Arabidopsis thaliana: one gene and its partner. The protein of the gene in region 1 interacts with the protein of each later gene in a biochemical or structural test. Each region holds a gene or a part of one and is shown on either strand. Other genes may lie near its edges. The genes, in order: AXR3 and TIR1.

Region 1 (4,945 bases):
AATCTCTTGACAATAATAAATTACTTGTAGCTCATTTCTGAAAGTGATAAAGGATACAACGTAATTCCATATTTCTAGTGGTTTTTCATTTTTCATTATAGAGAGGATATTTGTGTATAATTATGATAACCTTGTTAATAAATTTAGTTGGTATAAAAGTTAATATTCCTAATTAATTTAATGGGAAATTAAATGATAAACAAAGGTAATGAAATGAAGAGACCCATGAATATGCACATGGCATTGCTCCCTCTCTTCCCTATGGGTCCTATTTCTCTATTTTATTTCCTCCAACCAAAGCCAATTATCACTTTAAGTACCAACAAATCAATATACCAACAAAGTGAATTTTCCCCATTTTTGTAATTATATTCATCTGATATAACATATGTATATTGTAATATTGTAATTCTAATTATACCGACTTCGAAATTATACTTGGGGAAAGTTTACTTTAGGGTCAAATACTCGATCGCTATGATCTTTAGTTTCACTTTCAAGACGAACCAAAAGAATACTGTTCTGCCTTTAGAAAATAACTGACTATTAAGAGACTGAAATTAAAGAGAAGTAATGTGAGATTAAATTTTCCATAGTGGAATAAAAATCACATATTCCTTATACGAATATACACATCTTTGGCAAAATAAATAAATAAAGACAAACATATACATAGGAATAGGATGTTCAAATTATTACACATTTTCCATTACAAATGTCTCAAATATTTAACTTAAGTTCATTACACATAATAGCATACAAACTATATCTACATACCAAATCCAGATCAAAACACAGACAATCAAAAGAAACTGAACAATGTATTTCATCGTAAGAAAAAAAAGAGCAATTAACACCAATCAATGTGTTAATCAAATATATAATCGATACCACTTATCCTTTTAATTTGACTTCAAGCTCTGCTCTTGCACTTCTCCATCGCCCTCGGAGCTGAAATATTTTTACAATTAATAAGCAAAGACATTTGACCACGGTATTTATTCTGTTAAAAGAGTATATTTTTTATTCCCTCTGTTATTTAATCTCTTTCTTTTTTTGCATTTGACAAAAGAGAATCAAATATCATGTATTATATCAATGATTTAAAAGATCAAAGCGATAAGTTTTCTTTCGACAAATTTGTTCTTTACGGTAGAAATATAATTGTGCGAAAAATAATGAACGGTTTAAGCGTTTGATGATTAGACATCATCTTAAACGATAGCATATTAAATTATTTAGGCGACCAAGTTATGCGGTTGAGGTGTACATTATAGTAAACTTTTAAGCTCTTTTGTAAGTTTTTTTTTTCTTTTTGGGGCAAATCTCTTTTGTAAGCTATTTTAACTATATTGTATACATATACACGTAAATTTTAATTTAAATGGGTAACAAACTGAAATCAAAATTTAATCAATGTGAATATAATATGCATTGGTAGAAAATACATACCGAGACCAATGGCATCCGATCCTTTCATGAGACGTAAACGCTTGCATGTATCGACGAACATTCTAATAAATAAAAAGATTAAAACAAATGGTTATTTATTAGAAACAAATAAATGACATAAACAAAAATAAAGCTCGAATTTTAACCGAAACAATAAAGCTCTAATTAAATGGTAATTAATAAGGGAGAAGAAGAAGACGTACGGCCAAGGAACGTCGCCGACGAGCATCCAATCACCGTCTTTGTCTTCATAAGAGGGAACATAGTCCCAGCTATTCACCAAATCCATCAATTTCCTCTCATTCATGAAGTCTATCATTCCTTCTTCTCCTCCATGTTTGCCTAAAATAATCTTAGGTATAAGAACTTGATATCCTGAATTTAAACTTGGTGGTTTTCTTTTATGGTGCAACAAATGAAATATACATTTTTCGCAATTGGATTTTATCACATAGTTTTCTTTTCACAGTTTCTAAACTACTACTAACGGGTTACTCAATTATGAAATATTTGTATACTCGATAACGGTAATTCATTTGGGACTGATCTATCATCATGATGATTAATTTTTCTTTCTATAGTAACAATTAATTAGTAACTAAATGTGCATGGAAGGATCTACATATATATATAAGGAATATACTTATAAAACGTACCCATGGTAAAAGAGCTGAACATGTTGGACAAAGCATTAGAAAGCTCATCGTAGCTTTTATACATCCTCAAATCGATTTTCCTCAAGTACGGTGCTCCGTCCATTGATACCTTCACGAACGCCGCCGCCTCCGGGCCACCGCTTGATTTTTGGCAGGAAACCATCACGTTCTTCCGGTATGATCTCACCGGTGGCCATCCCACAACTTGTGCCCTATATTTTTTTTAAAACGGAAAAACGGTTATGTTATACAAGATATAGACTGTAGTTAGCTTTGACGTGATGTCACATAAATTTTACTTGCATGAGACTATGGGTTAAACATAATTAAATATATTAAGACATTGGACGATTTAAGAAGAGAAAAAAACCGTAGACATATGATAAAATGGTTTTGGCGAAGAAAAATATATATCTTTAATGAAATTTCTGTTTTTTTTTGCAGTCACCTTTACAAAAATGTTAATATTAAGAGCAGTAGAGAAGAGTGGAAAATAAATCATAAAGGACAAAATAGTAAAATTACTTGGCCGGAGGTTTGGCTGGATCTTTAGGACAAGCACTCTTCTCCTTGGAATCAAAAGTCACGACGTCATGAGTCGTAGATCCTTCCTTGTTTGCAGGCTCATTATTCAGATTTAGCTTCAGATCAACCGTCTCTGAGAACCCTCTCTTGTTTCCGGTTACCGGAGCCACTGTATCTCCACCGGGAAGACCAAGACACAGCTCAGTCTCCCTCAGATTCAGCTCGACACTGCCCATCATTATTAACCTTTCTTCTTCTTTGGTGTTCTTCTTCTTGGGAAGGTGATGAGGAAGATGGAAAAATGGTTTTATAAAAACACTCAAATAATACAAAGTGAGATGAGTCTGTATTATATCTCTGTCTAGGAGGTAGCTGCATGTGTATGTCGTATTTAAGAGATCTTTGATTAAACGGGTTTTAGACACGTGGATGAATCTAAGCCCTTTGATTAAGTCATCATCCTCGAGTTTTAGTCTTTTAGACTAATCAGTAATCACTGTTATTACTCTATTACTGTTATTGAATCTTTCTTATGATTTATCTTGTAGATTATGTATATATTATTGCATTTGACTATACAAAATGGATATATATTTTAATCCGTCTTTAATCGTTTTTCTCCCGTTAAAAGAGATATATAACATTTTGAGATTACAAGCGAAAGCACAAGTGAAGGAAAGATTTTAAAATTACAAGTGAATTATGAAACACATTCGAAGCAACCAAGTGAATTAAGTGGTGATGAACCGATTAATTGATATGGGGTATCTAACTAAATATATGTATATACCATATGGTCTTAAAAACTATATCAACGTATAGTTTATAAATATATATTCTTTTGAGTGGCGAGGTCGCAGACATCTCATATGAGAGTGTTACAATAGAGATGTACATTATTATTAATATAACTATATTATGCTTTTTGACTTCTAAATATAATTATTAACTAATGAATATATATTCATGATTTTGATTATTTTTCCCCGTAAGATTCTTCGCCGGAACCTTCCAATTATGCATATCACATCCACATGATTCAATTATTCATCCCACAATAAAAGCGCAGCCCTCTTGTATATAATTATTCTCATGCCAATACAAAATAAAGCATACGGTACATCTTCAATATTTATTGATTAAAAACTCACCTATAAACACGTACAGCGAAATGTGTATCTAGACACATAAAAACGCATCATTACTCTTTAATGTTTATACTTTGTAGTTAACAAACTATAAATTGCAATATTATAAACACCACTTTGTAGTTAACAATAAAATTGGTGATTAATTTTCTTTACAGATATTTACAGATTAAATTGACTACTAAAATATAATGTCTGTTTTTGATTATTGAAAATTATTTTTCTTCTTTTATATTGCTTGTGTTATTCTTGTAGTATGAAAGTTTTCAACAATAGGGTAGTTTTTTTTTTTTTTTGTAGTTATGAAAGCACCTAAATTTGTATTACATTTTCTATTAATTTGTCTATATTATCGCATTTCTAAACAAAAAAACAAATTCTGTCGCACTTCCAAAACATATTTTGTTTTTATTTCATCAATCACGCTTCCAAAAACAAAAATGATATGTTTTGGAATTGTATTTTCACGGCGCTTTTGCGAATTTTCAAACTTTCGTTCAAAATTCGACTTTAGTGATCTACTAGACACTGGTTTTAGTTCAAAGTAATCAGTTAGGCGTAAACTGTGAATACGGGACGTTTAAATAACACCAAGCGTACTAACCATAATTAACCAACGTAAATTCAATAAATATGAAAATAAAGAGGGAAAAAGGCATATTCCTACCCTAATAAAATCTATGAGAGGGGACATGAGTGGCATCAAAATCCAAAGGAAGAGAGGGTACAATTAACATCACCATAAATTCCAAAGCCAAAATTTAAATTAATGAGAAGAAGAAAAACATGGAGATGATAAAGGGACAAGTTACATCAAATAAAATTCAGGGGCGAAAACATCTTAAACCCTACTTTTGTTCCTTGCCTTGTCTACATCCTCCTCTTTAACCCTTTTCTCTCCTTTTGTTTCTATCCCAAAAAACTCTCATGAGTTTTCAAATCAACGTACCCCAAATTTTTCAATCGAATTTTGGGTCACTTTGTCTTATATATCACATCATTTTGTCGTGTTTTATCAATGTGTATCTACTTTGTCTGATCAATATATATATCTACTGATCACTATGGAATTCACATGAAATTGTAAACCAGTGAATAATATAAATTCTCGGTCCAGCCTACATGATTACAAAAAAATGCGCCCGCACACATAAATGGATTGTA
Region 2 (6,134 bases), on another chromosome or scaffold:
TATAAGAAATATAATTGGTCAGAATTTGACAAATCATATAACGATATAGAGAAGAGAACAATATGAATAAAAATGGAAAAAAGGATGGCTTCCACTAATGGGGAAGGTCATTATAATCAAGACATAATCCAAATTAGCTTTATAAATCACGTGCCACTTTACTTGTACTTGTACACCACCTCTTCATCAATCGCATTATATATATCACTCATCATCTATCTTATATATAAACAGTAGTATTATGTAAATACTATAGTACTATGTTATTCTTTTATATATGTCCGTCCACACATGCGTACACATATTTCTATCTCACATAAACAGTAGTAGTATAATGCAGTCTGTAATATTCTCGGCTTTTAGGTACACAATTTATAATTCATTCAGAGTTGGATCTAATATCGCTGAAGAGATAATTAAAAAAATAATTAGGGAGATAATTAAGGGATAATAGACAGCAAAGAGCAAGCTAGTTTTGAGTACGAAACCCGAGACTAGGAGAAAGAAATAAGAGAGATTCGCGGGGGAGCCATGCGTGGGATTATTATTCTAATCATTTCCTTAAAAAATTCATAATCAATGACCTCTTATTATATCAGTGTAAGTTAATCCCTTTTTCTGACGACATTAAAACTTATAATTTTAAAAAAACTTAAGCGTATTACGTGCAAGACAACTCAGCTCCACACTTCTCCCATCTGACTATACTCAGCCCTCTCTTTGTTTTTTCCTAATTATCTCTTTCTTCGTTACTACCTCAATTTCTGAGCACTTGCTTGCTACATTTTTTTTTTTTAAAATCTTCGTATTTGTATGTATGTCATTATAATTTTTAGATTTTATTTTTGGTTTAAGAACTAATCAACAGTACATTCAAAAAGAAAACTAGAAAGGTGCGATATTTTAAATAGTAGTTTAAGTGGATAAACGGTCAGGATGGTATGTAATACGAAGATGATATAGAACAGTTTGATAATGTGACAAGTTTTTTTAGTTAGGGCAGGACAGACCTATCAACTCCATGCTCAGACTCTGCAAAGCCCATCATACACTGTTTCGAGAAGAAGGGCATTCTCGTCAATTCAATACCCATTTATTTTCCTCTAAGCCGTTGTACTTGCGACAGAGCCCGAAATAATTGTAGTTTTTATACGTTTATTACACCCAGACGAGGTAAATTAATTAAGAAGTAATTATTAATTTTAAAAGTCACGATTGTGTATGTATGTATGTCCGTACACTGTTAAAAAGGGGTCCCAGATCTGACGGTCGTGATTAAAATGCGACGCTGCACTTTCTTTCTTTCTTTCTTCTCTACTTTATTCAAATTTTTCAGTATCCATTCTTTCTCTCTCTTTTTTTCTTTCTCTACTCATAAAAGTTGTTCACTTTAAATTATTGGATACTTCCCTCACATTTACTCTTTTTTGTGCAATCCTTTCAATTTTAATTTAAATTATTCAGCAATCTTCAAAAACATACAAATAATGTTTTAATCCAATCTCACACGAAAACACTGATTCTTGTTATGTTAATTCATCATTCAACTCTATTTACTTCACTTTAATGCTATGAGAAAGGATACACTTTAGTTAATCAAATTTATCAATACTATATATTACTAGAAAATAGAAAATGAAACTGTGATTAGTCTTGATGGTTTATTTATGAATCCAAGTGGTGGGTAAATAAATGAACATGCAAAACTAATAATAGGAGGAGATAGATGCTCAGATTCCACATCAAAACATGATTGGACGGTTGTGATGTCATCATAAATAACAGTAATAGCTTCTTTTTTTATTGTTTTGTTACCGTCAGATCATTAGTAGTCTAGTATTTTTTTTAACATTCTGTTGTGGTCCCCGCAATTTACGGGGCTTCCCCTCATATCCAGCCGTGCATCGCGTATCATTAGATTCCCTCTTCTCCTACACCTTACCACACCCTATCATTGATCTCCTTCTCGCGCTATTTTGATAGAAGCCGCGATAAGCCGACCCCCCCTCTCCAATATCTCGTCCCGTTTTCTGCGGCTGCCCTTCTCTGCACAGTCGATAAGATAATCTCCCGCTTTCATTCAATCGGACGGCTGGTATTTGAAGCTTATAAGACACGTGTCATCATCAGAATCGACAATCACAATCACCGAAAAGGCTCACATGGATATGTTTGACCACGGTTAACTTTTAACCCAACCATGGTTGGCTTTTTTAACTTGACCTCCTTCTCCTTCCCCCTATCCTTTTCTCTTCTCTTCCCACTCTCTCTCTCTCTCTATCTATCTTCTTCATCTTTGTTTCAGCTTCTCCTTTGAAACTAGATTATCTCCGTTAATGGCGCCTCAGATCTAACCTTGGGAGTTATATATATATACTTGTTCAACTCTTCTTCGAACGCTGTCCAACTTCTTCCTCTGGTTCGATCATCGAGATCTCGAGGTTATTTGGCCGCAATGCAGAAGCGAATAGCCTTGTCGTTTCCAGAAGAGGTACTAGAGCATGTGTTCTCGTTTATTCAGCTGGATAAGGATAGGAACTCAGTCTCTCTGGTGTGCAAGTCATGGTACGAGATCGAGCGGTGGTGCAGGAGGAAAGTCTTCATCGGGAACTGCTACGCCGTGAGTCCAGCGACGGTGATTAGGAGGTTCCCGAAAGTGAGATCCGTGGAGCTTAAAGGAAAACCTCACTTTGCTGACTTTAATTTGGTACCTGACGGATGGGGAGGTTACGTGTATCCATGGATTGAGGCCATGTCTTCGTCTTACACGTGGCTTGAAGAGATAAGGCTGAAGAGGATGGTGGTCACCGACGATTGCTTGGAGCTCATAGCCAAGTCTTTTAAGAATTTTAAGGTTCTTGTGCTTTCTTCCTGCGAAGGCTTCTCCACCGATGGTCTCGCTGCTATCGCTGCCACTTGCAGGTATTCTTTTTCTGAATGTTTTTTGTTTCATCAAGAAGACTCCCTTGTGTCTCTAGGAAGAAGCTTTTGTTTGTATTAAACTTATTGGTGTGTGATTTGTATATTCATTATACTACATAAAGTCTCAATTATAGCAAATTCATGTACTTGTTATTTGATCTGGGCATATAGGTTTTGCTGCGTTGTTCCTGCTGATGTTACTCTGGTCTTTGTGAGCTTTTTTTTGGTTTGGTCAAGATTTTGCGTATCTAAAAGATATATGTTTTAATCACGTTTCTGAAGATTCTTATTATAGCCACTCTCTTTTTCTTTCTGGTGGGTCTTATTTAACGGTGGTGTATCTATTTATTCCTGGATTATTCGCTCTCAGTGAATCTCCTGAGGTGGGAAATCTAATCAATTTGGCTTTGTGTGTGTTACTTTTCTTTTTGTAGGGGACTTTCAATTTTCTTTTTTTACCTTGTTGGGAAACTTAGATCTGTTTTCGGATTCCCCTTCTTTACTCGCTTTAGCTCTGTTTTAGCATCTCTCACATTGCTTCCACGTGATAAATTTAGTAATTTGTTATTGTTCTATGCTTAGATAGTTTCCCAAAGTGATCTTTCTACATTGTATCAAATACAACTTTGGACAAATTAATGACAATTATGCTCATGTATTGTAGGCAATGTTTATGTTCTCGAAGTTGTATAATGTGGGTCACTCGATGCTAATTATGTGATTTCTTATGCAGGAATCTGAAAGAGCTTGACTTACGAGAGAGTGATGTTGACGACGTTAGTGGCCACTGGCTTAGCCATTTCCCAGATACATACACTTCTTTGGTATCACTCAATATATCTTGCTTAGCATCTGAGGTCAGTTTCTCTGCTCTGGAAAGGCTGGTGACTAGGTGTCCCAATCTCAAGTCTCTCAAGCTTAACCGAGCTGTTCCACTTGAAAAATTGGCTACTTTACTTCAAAGAGCACCTCAATTGGAGGAATTGGGCACTGGTGGGTACACTGCAGAAGTGCGACCAGATGTTTACTCTGGTTTATCTGTAGCGCTCTCTGGGTGCAAGGAATTGAGGTGCTTATCTGGATTTTGGGATGCTGTTCCTGCCTATCTTCCAGCAGTTTATTCGGTTTGCAGTCGGCTTACAACTTTGAATCTGAGTTATGCAACAGTCCAGAGCTATGATCTTGTCAAGCTTCTTTGTCAATGCCCTAAACTGCAGCGCCTCTGGGTGAGTCCATTTTAACATACATTAACACATGAATTTGGAATAGGTCATTTTACTGTATGGTATGAGAAAGCTTATGTTCATAGTTTTCTTAAAAAATTTGAATGATATAGAGCAATATATCTGAATTATAAGCATTAAAGCCTTTTTCTTTTTGTAACTGTGCTCTAACTTATTATTGACTACAGGTGCTTGACTACATCGAGGATGCTGGTCTTGAGGTGCTTGCTTCAACCTGCAAGGACCTACGCGAGCTGAGAGTGTTTCCGTCCGAGCCTTTTGTCATGGAACCAAATGTGGCATTGACGGAACAGGGGCTTGTCTCCGTCTCCATGGGCTGTCCAAAACTCGAGTCGGTTCTCTACTTCTGCCGTCAAATGACCAATGCTGCATTGATAACCATTGCTAGGAACCGTCCCAACATGACTCGCTTCCGTTTGTGCATCATTGAGCCAAAAGCCCCAGACTATCTGACTCTAGAGCCACTGGATATTGGATTTGGAGCCATAGTAGAGCACTGCAAGGATCTCCGTCGCCTCTCTCTATCTGGCCTCTTGACCGACAAGGTTTTTGAATACATTGGGACATATGCCAAGAAGATGGAAATGCTCTCAGTGGCATTTGCAGGAGACAGTGACTTAGGCATGCATCATGTTTTGTCCGGGTGCGATAGCTTGAGGAAACTAGAGATAAGGGACTGCCCGTTTGGAGACAAGGCGCTTTTGGCCAATGCTTCAAAGCTGGAGACAATGCGATCCCTTTGGATGTCTTCTTGTTCCGTGAGTTTTGGAGCCTGCAAGTTACTAGGACAGAAGATGCCAAAGCTGAATGTGGAAGTCATCGATGAACGGGGTGCACCGGACTCGAGACCAGAGAGCTGCCCTGTTGAGAGAGTCTTCATATACCGAACAGTGGCTGGTCCTCGATTTGACATGCCTGGCTTCGTCTGGAACATGGACCAAGACTCAACAATGAGGTTTTCCAGGCAAATCATTACTACTAACGGATTATAAGACAAAGAAACGAGGTACATTTTTCATTAATCCTTGTTCATCATCCCATATAATCGTGTTCCGGTTTAGGAACATGAGAGAGCTCGGTCGCCAATAATTTGAATCTCGGCTGCTTCATATAACCATCAAGCTCATGAGCAATGAATAAGTGGAGAGAGAGAAAGAGAGATCTAAGAGAGCTTTGTTTTATTTATGTAAGAATTATTGATTGTTGTATGTTTATTTGGCTACTTACACTGAGAGATCCTGGTGGGGTATTTTTCTTAAGAGGATAAGAGATTTTTTTAAAAGACAATGTCAAAAATGTAACTGTTCTACTTGTTTTGTTTGGACTCTTTTATCCTTTTAAATGTTTTCTATCTCTCTCTCTCTTTGTCTTTGCCATTTCCTTTGTCCGCTTAATGAACTGTTTGCAGCCTTTTCGGTTTTGGAACAGCACCTAGTTTCGTCTCAGGTCCCTACACTCTCTTTATCACCATAATTAGAAACAAGAGAATCTTGCTCTGTGTAAAGGTCTTGGAATAGCATCATCGTCAAACGTGTGATAGGACACAATGTAATTGAACTGTTGTTTTTCATATGAAAAACAAGCTTTTTCAAATTTTCAGTTTACATGATGACTAAACACAGTAATACCATTTATATAACAGTACGATATTTTCCGTTTCAAGTGTTTTTAGGCCAAGAACAAAAATAAATAAGCAGAACACAGCCCTATCGCTCTATGGTTGGACCAATGACGGGAAAATTCAATGAAGAAGAGTTGGCTTCAGAAAATGATCACTCTGTTTCACTCACTGGATCTTGTGGCGTTGAGATTCTCCGAGTGTTGTATGAACCGCAATCACTGCACTTGTGTCCCAAAATGTGGAACATAGCTTTACTCCCCTTGTTGCAGTCATTGCAGAGAATTGAAACCTGCAGACATTTTCTTGGCGGATGTAAAACCATGAGCACAAGGAAAACAAACCAAGAG

What was found.
Region 2: the proteins of AXR3 (region 1) and TIR1 form a complex in vitro, tested with the Arabidopsis thaliana proteins (one study listed by BioGRID).

The regions. Positions count from the first base shown.
Region 1 is NC_003070.9:1,134,309-1,139,253, reverse strand, and holds AXR3 (AUX/IAA transcriptional regulator family protein), read right to left. Parts: upstream 3,177-4,945; 5' UTR 2,873-3,176; coding exon 2,634-2,872; intron 2,321-2,633; coding exon 2,109-2,320; intron 1,795-2,108; coding exon 1,656-1,794; intron 1,515-1,655; coding exon 1,453-1,514; intron 952-1,452; coding exon 914-951; 3' UTR 591-913; downstream 1-590. UniProt on the Arabidopsis thaliana protein: Aux/IAA proteins are short-lived transcriptional factors that function as repressors of early auxin response genes at low auxin concentrations.
Region 2 is NC_003074.8:23,272,503-23,278,636, reverse strand, and holds TIR1 (F-box/RNI-like superfamily protein), read left to right. Parts: upstream 1-2,006; 5' UTR 2,007-2,455; coding exon 2,456-2,922; intron 2,923-3,655; coding exon 3,656-4,148; intron 4,149-4,333; coding exon 4,334-5,158; 3' UTR 5,159-5,572; downstream 5,573-6,134. Other genes in the region: AT3G62970 (zinc finger (C3HC4-type RING finger) family protein), read right to left, coding at 5,939-6,076. UniProt on the Arabidopsis thaliana protein: Auxin receptor that mediates Aux/IAA proteins proteasomal degradation and auxin-regulated transcription.